Linked DNA regions of Rattus norvegicus. The protein of the gene in region 2 binds, or shares a complex with, the protein of the main gene of each other region. Links are inferred from orthologs where the notes say so. Each region holds a gene or a part of one and is shown on either strand. Other genes may lie near its edges.

What was found. The genes of interacting proteins can lie anywhere in the genome.
Region 1: Smarcd3 (region 2) and Dpf1 share a complex: the UniProt entries of both Homo sapiens proteins name them as parts of the neuron-specific chromatin remodeling complex. The link is inferred for Rattus norvegicus from reciprocal best matches to the Homo sapiens genes SMARCD3 and DPF1.

What each region holds. Positions count from the first base shown.
Region 1 is NC_086019.1:93,735,329-93,741,277, reverse strand, and holds part of Dpf1 (zinc finger protein neuro-d4), read right to left. Parts: coding exon 5,833-5,949; intron 5,760-5,832; coding exon 5,652-5,759; intron 4,147-5,651; coding exon 4,019-4,146; intron 3,857-4,018; coding exon of another isoform or gene 3,803-3,856; coding exon 3,713-3,802; intron 2,467-3,712; coding exon 2,388-2,466; intron 2,236-2,387; coding exon 2,104-2,235; intron 1,226-2,103; coding exon 1,175-1,225; intron 1,082-1,174; coding exon 962-1,081; intron 1-961. UniProt on the Homo sapiens protein: May have an important role in developing neurons by participating in regulation of cell survival, possibly as a neurospecific transcription factor. Belongs to the neuron-specific chromatin remodeling complex (nBAF complex).
Region 2 is NC_086022.1:11,464,576-11,470,524, reverse strand, and holds part of Smarcd3 (SWI/SNF-related matrix-associated actin-dependent regulator of chromatin subfamily D member 3), read right to left. Parts: intron 4,115-5,949; coding exon 3,903-4,114; intron 2,130-3,902; coding exon 2,087-2,129; intron 1,359-2,086; coding exon 1,236-1,358; intron 1,114-1,235; coding exon 991-1,113; coding exon of another isoform or gene 955-990; intron 774-954; coding exon of another isoform or gene 754-773; coding exon 658-753; intron 512-657; coding exon 410-511; intron 259-409; coding exon 97-258; intron 1-96. UniProt on the Homo sapiens protein: Involved in transcriptional activation and repression of select genes by chromatin remodeling (alteration of DNA-nucleosome topology).

The DNA of each region.
Region 1 (5,949 bases), on a different chromosome or scaffold from region 2:
GAGCTCTGCAGTGGGACCCTAACCCTGAGACCAACATCCGGAAGCTCGACTGTCGGGCAAGCAGCCGTGTGTTGGCCACCACAGTCTCCTACTCAGCCACCATGACAACCACACTCTGCTCCCCAGAACACCATGGCAACCACATTCCATTACCCACAGTGCTGTGGCAACCACGTTCTACCACCCACAACACCGCGGCCACCACAGTCTGTTAAGTATTGCGCTAGGCAGCCACATTCCAATACCCACAGCAGAGCGTCCAGCCCTCCTGTTAACCACAGCAACGTGGCAGCCGACCTCTGCCAACCAGGATGCTATGGCAACTGAGTTCCACAACAGGGTCCCCACACCTTGCTTCTCTGAAAACCAAAGGCCATCCCGCACCAGGCACCAGCAAACGAACTTCCTCTGACAACACTCGCGGTGTGAATCGGCTCAGCCATTCTCCCACGGCGCGAAGGCACCTGTAGCCACTGCCCACAGCACCCAACGGTTACAACTACATCTCTCAGAGCCAGACGCCAGTAGCCACAGCACTCTGCCCACAGCACATCACAGCCACAGTCCATCATCCACGCTGCTCAAGTGACCAGCCTTACTACCCAGGAGGCCTCCATGGAAAACCACACTGTATTAACCACAGTTCTACAGCACACAATCCTGCTATTCACAGCACCCAGGTGGTGCAATTGCTCCCACACCTCCGTCCCCTACCCACAATGCCTCCCTAGCTTCTCTCTACTCTCCTTGCCGGGAAAGCACAAAGCCAGGGCACCTTGTACTGTTGGTTCCCACTGTGCCAGCAAGCCTGCTCAGTCTGTCACAAACCCCTGCAGCAGAGGCAGCCCCTAGGACAGGCTAGGGACAGCCCCTTACTCGCCTGCCTCCCACTCCCTAAATTCAGATTCTGAGATGTCCTCCTCCCGCCTCCGATCTTCCAGAAATACGTAGTGAGTTTCACCTGATCGCCCGCAGTCCGCACAGGAGATGAGGTCCTCAGGACATCCAGTCTTCTTGGAGCCCCCCAGGCAAAAGTCACAGTAGCCATTGGGGATGACAGTGCCATCTGGTGCTTTCTTGGCTGAAAGACAGCAGGCAGCGGTGGGCACAGGACAGGTGAGGCGTGCCAGTCAAAGACTACTGCAGAAGTCGGGGAGGAGGGAGGTGCCCCTACCTGTGTGTTTCCTCTGTGCCTCGGGGACCCAGGCCAATTCTTTGTAAAACTCTGGGGGTAGGGGGACAGAAAGGGGCTCTTACCATAGGCAAGGTCCCATCTGTCCCCAGCCTCAGCCCCAGGGGCGGACCCTTGGCCCAGGCACTGGGAAGTAGCAAGAAAGCTGGGGGAGGGACAAGGAATGCTCACCAGAACCCTAACTCTTAGGATTCTATTTGGGTATGTTTTCTCTATTTGGGTAAAAGTGTGAGGATAGACATAACCTTAGCAAGAACCCATGGCTGCTGCCACCATCGTGTGTTTGCACCCCCCAGGTAAGCTTGCCTAGGCCAACGCTTAGCCCGCAGTTCTGCAACGCCTAATCAGGAGGACATTGTTATAGCACAGAAGGTTCTGGGTCAGGCCTGTGGATTTGTAGAAGCTGTCTTTGAGGGACAGGTGAGCTAGGCCCCCTCCCCCCATGGTTCAGTTGTCATGGCATGGAACAGCCATGAGTGGGTATCAAGGACCCTGGGGACCTTGCCCCTGGACCCTAGCATAGCAGAGGAGACAAGGGAGGTCTAGGAAGAGAGGGGATCATCTACCACCCCACTCCAGGTTCTAATTGAAACAATAAATCAGACCCAGAAATAAACCCGGGAAGGGAGTGAGTGAAAGAGTGAGAGAGACAGAGAGAGAGAGAGAGAGAGAGAGAGAGAGAGAGAGACAGAGAGAGAGAGAGAGAGAGAGAGAGAGAGAGAGAGGGGGTTGGTTGTCATGGCAACCCTAGAGCCAGCATCCCTATGATTGGTGGGGGAGGGAACCGTGAAGATTTTTTCCAGAAATGTCTAACTGTGCCTCCACCTCCCCAGACACTACCAGTCTCCACCGCCCCCGCCCCACCCCTCGCACCTCACCCACCAGCCTTGACCCTCCAACTCACAACTCACGTTTATGGTTGTTTTTCCGGTGGAAAGGCAGGGCGTGGCGCTCAGTGTGCTCCTCCCCCTCCTCCTCAGCCAGGTGGGTGTGGGTGTAGTGGTAGCTAAGCCCTGGCCGGTTCTTATACCTCTTCCCACAGACTGGAGGGGAAGTGAGCAGGTGGTTGTCAGACTCCAGGGCCACCTCCTCCACCCCGGGTCTCCAGGATCACACCCCCCTGCTCTGCCAAGGGCCAAAAGGGAGAGTCCCTGGGTCCCACACCCCCTCTCTCTTTCCCCTCGGCAGAACTCACTATCACAGACGTACGGCTTGTCTCGGTCCTCCAAGGATGCGTTGTCCTGGCGTTTCCGGAGACCTCCAATGCCATACGCCTGTAGGGAGGAGGGTTAGGAGTAAGGAAGCCAGGAAACCAGGGAAAGGCTCATCATTCCTGGGGCTTTTGAGTTTGTCCTTGTCGTTGCTGTCGTTGCTTTAGACAGAGTCTCATGGTGTAGCCCTGCCTGACCTGGAATTCACTCTGTCGATCAGACTGGCCTTAAACATGCAGTGATCCTCCTGCCTCTGGGTTACGGGTATGTGCTACCATGCCTTAGTGGGTTTCTTCATTTAGACTTGAAAATTCAAACTGAAGAAAAAAGTTAAAATTTTCTTAGTACTAGGGGTGTGGCTCAGTGACAGAGCAGGTGTCATGGGAGTATGAGACTCTGGGTGCCATCGCAGAGCCACACAGCAATAATGAAGTCTCCCCATTAAAACCAGGCACATTTTCTAGCTGTGAGCCTTTGAACTTCTCGCAGTACACCTATTAGATAGTTCTTTTTGGTGTTGTTTTGAGACAGAGTCTCTCCACACAGTCCTTGCTGTCCGAGAACTCGCTATACAGATCAGGTTGGCCTTGAACTCACAGAGGTCCTCTTGCCTCAGCCTCTCCAGTGTTGGAATTAAAGGTGTGTTCTAACACTTTTTTACTGCTCATAATGGAGGGTGTGTGTGTATGTGTGTATGTGTGTGTTGTGTGTGTGTATGTTTGATTGTGTGCATGTAGTAAATGTGTATTTGCATATGTGTCTGTATATGTGGTGTATATGCATGGTATATGTGTGTATATGTTCGTATATGCAGGTGCACTTGTGTGTGTGGTGTGCATGTATATGTGTGTTTATGTGTGTATGTGGAGTGTATATTTGTCCATGTGTTTGTATGTGTGTATATCCACATGTGGTTATGCATACGTGTTTGTACGTGTTCGTATGTGTGCATACATGTTTGTGTGTGTGTTTGTGTGTGTGTTGCTGTTGTTGTCTGGGTGGCTGGTTTGGTTTAGGATTTTTTTTTTCTTTTTGCACATGGTCTCTTTATGGAGTTCAGAATAGCCTGGGATTCACTTCTCCCAAACTTGGAGCAATTCTCCTGCCTCAGCCTCCCAGGTACTGGGATTACAAGTGTGGGCTGCCACACCCAGGTCTGCAAGACAGTTCTGATCCACAAGCTCCAATTTTGAAATTGTTATAATCCACTGAGTTTCCATTTCCTCACCCATAAGAATGGGTGCAAAACCCTCTACTCCTTCACATAGCTCTGGGGAGGAGGTGGGAGGGAGAAGCTTCTGGAAGATACCTTTCCTTTGGCCCTGTTCTTCCTCCTGGGAATGTCTTCCTCCAAGTCTTCTACCTCGAGATCATGCGGAAACTCCAGCAACTGCTGTTTCTGGGCCCAGTAGAAGGGAGATTGGGGGGTCAAGAAGGTGGGGGCACTGATGTGCTGCAGGTGGGGTGGGAGAGCAAGTCAGGGAGCCTTCTACAAGCAGAGGTGTTCTGGGAGAATGGGGCTGTAGGGTCCCCAAAGGCCCTGTGGAGCCGGGCATCTCAGAGCAGGAAGGCATAGTGGTGACAGCGCACCTGCAGCCAGGGAGGGGGCTCCTACCTGACAGTCCATAATGGTCTCCTCCTCCTTCAACTCCACTTTCTTCTCTCCAGTCTCAGCGCACAGCAGAGCCTCAAGGACTGGCCCTTCCGGGAGGCCACCCTCCTTCTTCAGAGGTGCCTCACAATCTGGGGACAGTCCACAGGGAAAGGGGTATCAGTTGAAGAGGCTGTGGTCAAAGTGCCCAGGTTGCAGGCAGGTGGGGGTGGGAGCGTGGTCCTTGTAGCAGGGGCAGCCTCTCCCACGCTCAACCAACAATGGACATAAGGATTCAACTCGGGCCCTGGAAAGAATGCCCATACCCTGGGGAGACACAGCCATGCCCTCAGCTCTACTAGATAAAGAAGACAGGGCGAGACCCGCATACACCAGAAACCCTCAGGAACAATAGCAGACCCTCATAAACACCTGCACAGTGAAAAGGCGCCTAGACCCTCAGATACACCCAAAGAAAGTTAGAAAGACATTTGAATAGGATACATACAGACACATATGCGGGACATGCAGATAGATGGCCAGCCACACGAAGGAACACAGCCAACCTTTGAGTACAGCTGGACACACAGAAGAGATACGATTAAGTCCTTGGATACAGAGATACTCAGGAAGAGACAGGCAGAGCCTCAGAGAAATCTGGGCCTTCGTTAATTAGGAAGACACAGGCAGGCCACGTGATACACCTGGACACTCAGAGACAACCCCAAGGAGAAGCACTCAAATGTGGTCACACACTTGCACAGAGAAACACAGTCTGACATACACCGGAAATCACAGCCAGTCAGCACTTCCAGTACTCCTGATACAAGCAAACCTTCACACACACATTTGGACAGAGGACGAGACCAATGTCTGCCTTTCCAGAACACACTGGAAAACTCCAGAAGAAACACCTAACCCAGAAAGGCTCTCACAGACACTACCCTAACAGGATGCGCTGACAGAATCACATAGAGCCCAGAAAAAGCTAGGTACGCACAGACCTACCACCCACACACAATCAAATACACACTTTCTGATACATATTCTCTCTTGGAAACACCTAGAAAGGAACAGGCATTCTAAAACACTCAAGCAGTGAATACAACTAGACACCCTTAACTCAGTGGCTCTCAACCTTCCTAAAAGTGTGACCCTAAATTTAATACAGTTCCCCATGTTGTGGTCACCCCCAGCCATAAGATGATTTCGTTGCTACTTTGTAACAGTAATTTTGCTACAGATACAAATCGTGAATGTAAATAGGTTATGCGGGGTCTTGACCCACAGCTGGAGAACTGTGGCTAACTCTTAACACATACACGGTGAGACAGCCCTCAAGCACCCACAGAAAGAAACACTGCCAGACACGGGTGTGTCCCAGCTCACTCAGAAACACGTACAGTCAGACTTGATACATCTAGACATGGATAACACCGCGTCCTCCATACACCTGCTCGTCCTGACCCACATAGCAGGTACAGCTGGCAGCTCAGGAACTCAAAGAAAGTAACTCAAGACATCCAGGGACAGATACCCTGCTGTGAAGACACTCAAGATAATAAAGACGAAGTTCAGACAGTTCAGACGGGCAGCAGGGGGGGTTGAAGGCCTTGACTGGGGCCACAGCAAGCGCAGGGGACACAGCTCCACCCACCGATCTTGTACTCGCAGGGCCGGAGCCTGGGGTCCTCCAGGATGTTGAGTCTCCGTTTCTTCCTCCAACAGCGGGCGGGGTAAGTGTAGATCTGTCCTGGGGCCAAACCTAGAGGAGAGAGGCTGTGAGAGTGAGGTCCCTGGACGCAGGCCCCGCCCCGCCCCAGCCTCGCGGCGGGTACCAGGCCCGCGGTGGGTCTTCTCCATCCAGATGTAGCAGTTGTTCTGAGCCACGCCGGTCTGAGAGTCGAGGAAGGGCAGGCGCAGGCTGCGCTCGGCACACAGGCGCGCGTTGTAGC
Region 2 (5,949 bases):
TCAGGAACTCAGCAAAAGGAGATAGCTACCTTAGGGAGGTGCTTCTGCTAGGATACCATCCCTGATCCCCAGATCCTGAGGCTAAGGACATGTTACCTGCTGGAAATACTTGTCTCCATTGATGTATTCCTTGTCATGGGAGTCCTGTAGCCTGTTGGTCTTCACGTACTGCCACAGTGCCTGGACAATGGCTGAGCGGCTCTGCGTATGCAACCCCAGCAGCCGGGCCAAGCGGGGGTCCAGTTTGAACTGGGGAGGCTGGGAAAAGGTTACCAGGAAAATGAGATTGAGGGGAGAAATAGAGAATGGGGCGTGGAGGTTAGGGTCCTTGGCAGCATGCCCCTAGAGAAAGTGAGTAGGAAGGAGAGTAGGGTCTGTGTGTGGCATGCAGGCACGGAGTAAAACCAACCTGATAGTCCAGCATCAGGAGCAGGGTACAGCGCACACTCAAGTCCCCTGGTCTCTTCACTTGGAACCCATCTGTCTCCTGGGTTGTGGGTGTCCGGTGCCACTGTCCAGGGGGAAGAGCTAGGTCACCCACAGACTCATCTGGGTTGGTAGAGCCTAGGGCTTTAGGATGGTCCTCAATCCAAATCTGCAGCTGCTCCAGGGCTGATGGGAAGGTTGTGATTCACGGGCAGCGGCAATCTGTCTTACCTCAACAAGGTGGTTGTCTGGGCCATAAAGGTCTTTGTCCAACTCAATGACCAAACTCTTGAAGAAGGAAGAAAACTTCCTCTTCTGCTTACTGGGCTGTGGGAAAGTGACAGGGACTGTGGGGGCAGAACAGGGACCACGGACACAGAATGGGCCAAGTTGGCGGCAGGCAAGCAGTATGCTCAGAGGCAGCCCTCTGTCCCCAGACTGTCCCCAGGCCCACCCTCCCCAGCCCAGGCTGACTCCCAGTTCCTAGTGCAGACATTTACTTCAGTCCTTGACTCAACCCATACCCACCCCAGGACACCTGGAGAGACCTGGGCCAGGACGTACATCATCCAAGAGCTTCCCCTCCACCCGCAGCTCCCAGGAGGCAATGCTGCCATCAGAATCTTCGGCATCGGGCTTCGCGGGGTTAAAAGTATTGGAGATATAAAGGCGCAGCTTTCGCTTTTGCTGTAGAAATAAAGTGTAGTACAGGACAAGGGCTGTGTGCACCAACCCGGGGCACCCTGCTTCCTCCTACTGGACAGGGCACTTAGAGCCCTATTCCTACTCCCACTCCCACACTAAGGCACCTTCATGGGCCTCTTCAGGGCCTCCTGGATGTCCACCCGCTTCCGCATAATGGTTTGATCCAGTTTCCTCTCAAATGCTAGGAGGTCCATGTAAGCCTGGGACTCAGGGACCAGCTCCCGAATCTGAAAGAGGAACAAAGTGGAAGCCGGGCCCAGTCCATCTTGCAGTGCAGAATGCATGCCTGTTGTGTGACTACAGGACACAAAGGACACAGAGGGAGCTGTCCAATTGATTTCAGGCTGCGGAGTCCTGAGAGTGAAGATAGGGCTTGTCCCCCGGACGCTATTATATAGCCTCATTGTGTGTGGATAAAAATTGCTTCTCCCTCCAGGAAAACTCATGCATCTCATCACTGGGAAGCAGCAGCAACTGGCAGCCCAGCAGGTGCAAGTGCCTAGCTTCATCCCATCACCCCGACTCATACAGAAGACACCCTGGGTCCCTGAGAAGTGCTAAGGGATTCTGGGTATCCCAGAGAGTTGGGAGGTAGTGTAGGTGGCCTCAGGAGCTCCACACCTGCTGCTCCTCCTGCTACACTTTCCGTTCCCTTCACCTAGCAGTTTCCCGTCTCTTCTTTGTGCAGTGCCTCTATGCCTTTGAACCACTGGTATTCAACCCCCTTAACCTCAGGCCCTCTGTTCTGCCCCTCCTCCCTCCATGGCTCTCCAGCTCCTTCCCCCAGCCCAGCCCCACCCTCTCGTGAAGGGAACCTCACTTCTTAATGAGCTTTTAAAACAAAAAGTGAAAGTGGCTGTGACGCTGAGCCCAAAGCTTTGCTCCTAAGGGAGGAGGGGAGGGTGGAGTAGCAAAGGGTGGGGGCTGGCTGGGGGCTGCTGTGAAAGGCACTCACCCTTTGAGGGAGGATTTTGTCAGCCATCTTCCTCCTCTTGGCACTGTACATTTTTAAAAGAAAAAACCAGGTTACCATGGCGACAGATCTGGGAGTAACGAGGCCACCTGCTAAATTATCCCGACATCTCCGCCCGCTGGCTGGGGTTCCCACAGCCTGCTTGTCTGCCTGTCTGAGGGCTACAGCAGCGACGTGGAGCTGGTACTCCCCTGGAAGGCAGGATGACTGGTCCTTTCTCTTGCTTGGCACCCCCTAACCCCCACCTTATATCTCATCACGTCCTCAGAGCCAGAGAAACTCAGACTTAGAAGGAACTAGTGAAAGAGAAGATGCTGTCAAAAGATGGGGATTGCAGAAGTGTTTGCAAAAAGCCTGGAGGTGGGGAAGATGGAGGGAAGAGAAGAGAGCTTCTGAGGACCCTCTCCTGCCAAGCAGGAGACACACGCCCAAGAGAGCCAGAGCTCCAAGAAGGGGAGAGGTGACTCCTCCACTTAGTTCCTGGAGCTCCTGAGCTGTCATGGAATGAAGCTGGTGGGACTTGGCACTCCTGTGGCTCTGGGCTTGGAAGGGACTGTTTAAAGGCAGGAGAAGGAGATGCTTGTGGTCTTGGACCATCTGCCAACCAAGGGGCACACCACAAGGACCCTGGAAGTGTGCAGGAGTGTTCTATGTGAGTGTGACTTAGCACTGGAACCAATGTGGCTGAACCCAGGGTAGACAGCACCTGGTATTGGATGATTCTCAGTTTCAAAAGCAAGGCAGAAAACCCCTTGGCTGGCCAAGAGAGAACACACAGCCTAGACGATAGCTCTACACTGCCCCCATGTGGCATTCTCACTCACTGCCCCCTCTCAATCCAGAAATCCATTCTATGCCCAGGCAAGCAACTCATTAAAGAAAAACCAACCCATTCTTAGGCTGGGTAAGCATTTCATGAAAGGATTGATTTATTTCAAATAAATTATCCATACAAAACTCTTAACTTACACATAAAAATCAGAGAATGACTTGTTATACAAGATAATGATTCACTTTGTAAAAGAATTTATTATGGGGTGCCTCTGATTTTCCTTGATGTGTAAAAACTATTTAATAATGAAGTAGAATTGACATTACACCTTGTATAAGAACCCATCTGTTGTGCAAAAGGAAGCATGTGTGTTTGGATAAATACTGATGCCCATAGAGGCCTTACTCTTGCCAAGAGCCAGCAGGGACCATGGGAGTGCCACCAACTTCTCAGACAAGGAAATAAGCTGCTCCGGTGGCTTGGGGGCAGAACTGCTCCCTCAGAGAGGTTATAGCGCCTCTTCATGCCCACTGCCAAGGCTGAGGACTACGGAAATCTAGAGGGGCTCTGACGCAGCCCGGGACTTTGGACTGGCCCAGAGGTAGCCAGGAGCCACCAGAGGACTACATTTTAAGAAAACACACAGCTAAAACTCAACCCTTGGTCTATTGCCAGCCCTGCCTCTCCCCAAAGACTGAAGCATCTCTCAGAACTTGGGGTAAAGAATGGGGGAAAGGATTTAGGAGGTGACAAGCAGAAGAATGAAGGGTGCGTTCAGAGAAGGGACACTGGCAGCCGACTATCGCAGCCCTTCTTCACTGTGGGCACACAAAAGAACCAGACCAGTGCCCCCTAAGCCCTCCCCAGAGAATATCCAAGCTACAATGACTTCGTCGCTGCTAACATCCCTAACATCTTTCCTTAGCTTCCCATCCCCACCACTCACCCACCTGGTCCCTGAGGCTTCTGCCTGCCCGCCCCTGCACGCCCTTTCACGCGGGGGGGGGGATGTTAGGGGGCACTCACCTGCGGCTCCGCGCTGGGGCGGTGGGCACCGGCTGGCCCTGGCCTTGTGCCTGGCTCTGCCCGGGCGGGGGCGCTGCTCGCTTGCGGGCGGGCTCCATGCCCGCGGGGGCCAGGCCGGGTCGTACCGCGGGGCTGCCCATGTACGGGGAGCCCGGGGGGCCCATGGGCGCCCCCTGGTGGGGCATTCGGGCTCCAGACGGCATCCCGGGGCGCTGGCGGGGGTGGGGCGGGAGGTGAAGCAGAAACCGGCGCGGGCAGGTCAGATTTGGTCCCGACCCCCAGGCCAGCGTGCTTGCGCTCCCGCCCTTCTCCAAGACCCTGGGCTGGTAACCCTGCGCTGAGCGATGAGTGGGAGTGATTGGTGGGAGGGGCGGGGGCGCGGGGATCTGCGCGGCTCTGGAGGAGGGGGCTTGGCGTCTCCTAGCATGAAGCTAACTGAAGCCAGGCAATTGCCCAGAGCATAGCCGAGTCTCGGAGCCGTGCAAGGTACCCCAAAAATGAATATTAATGGCGCCTTTCAACCTTTCAAAGGATGTTCATATCCGTACGGCTCTCTGCGAGCCAGTCAGAGCAGGTCTTTTCATCCCCACTTGACAGATGGGGCAACTGGGGCTCAAAGAAAAAAGCGACCTCGCCAAGGTCACCCTGCTCTTCCCGGCAAAGGCAGCACCTGACCGGCCCTGCTCCCCGCTGCTTCGCTGCGGTGAGGGGCTGATTTCCTGTCCTCATTTCTCATTTCCCAATTTCCACACCCCACTTCTGGGGCTGATGTGCTTTGTACTTGAGCCCCCATCTCCCTTTCAGAGCCCCCGGCTTTGGCACCTCAATCTCAAACATAACTGGTTCAGCTAACTCCAGGTCTCCACACCCACCGACTTAGCCTGCCTCTTTAATGTCATTTCTCCCAAGGTGATACAAGAGGCAAGGGCACCTGAGGGTCTGGTGTCATCAGACTCTGCCTAGTGGCAAGTGGGGAACTGGACTAGAAGTGGGCTGCCAGTGCAGGGACGGTTGAAGGAAGCAGCATCTGTAGCAGCATTCATTCCCTCTCCCATCTGATCACATAAGAGTCAACCCATTCCCCACCCAATCCCAGGAAGGGTAGAAATTGGAGGGAAATGAGGCAGATTGATTTTCCCCGGCCACCACCTCTACTCAGTCAATCAAAACAGAGGAGATGCCAATGTGAGTGAAGTGTTACAGATTTCACTTGTCCAAGCCCAGGAAGGGGGCTGAGGTTTTGGGACTAGTCAGGAGGTGGGACGAGTTCAGAAGAACAGGAAGGGTATTAGGGAGAGAGGTATGAAAACCCTATTTAAACACCCCCATCTCAGGCTAGGGATGTAGCTTGGTACAGGGCTTGTGCAACACATGTGGAGACCTGGGTTCGATCCCCAGTATCAAATAAACTGCACATGATAGCACACACTTGTAATCCCAATATTGAGGTGGAGGCAGGAAGTCAAGTACTGATATATAGTGAATTTGAGGCCAGCTTGGGCTACTGAAGACCATGCGCATGCGCCCTCGAGCACGCAGGCACGCAGGCAGGCACGCACGCCCTCATCTTGCCCCCAGACTAAGAAGCCTTAACCCTAACTCCCAGGCTTCCTTTCTCCTCTTACACTGCTTACCCCTAAGGTCTCCACCCATAGCCAGCAGCTGTCTCTGCTCATCTCTTCTGCAGTGAAACTGGCCTGTCCCTGAATCTGCCACCCCCACTCCACCTGGCTCTGTCACTCACAGCACCAATGCCACCAGGGTAGAAGCTCAGGCCTAGCCACCCTTCATGACTATAGAGGGGGCCCTAATCATCATCCAAGAACTGAACCTCCAAGGTGGCCATATTCAATTAATTCTTCATGGGGTCGTACTCTTTCAAGCGACTACTCAAGCAGCCAGGTCAGGACTGGTAACTCCACTAGTCCACAGGGCTGTCTTGGAAATTACACCCCAGATATCCCTAAGGCTAGAACAGGCTGCCACAGAGAAGCCCTCTTCCCTATCAACTGCTCTCCTATTCATCAAGGCCACTGATACTGTCTGG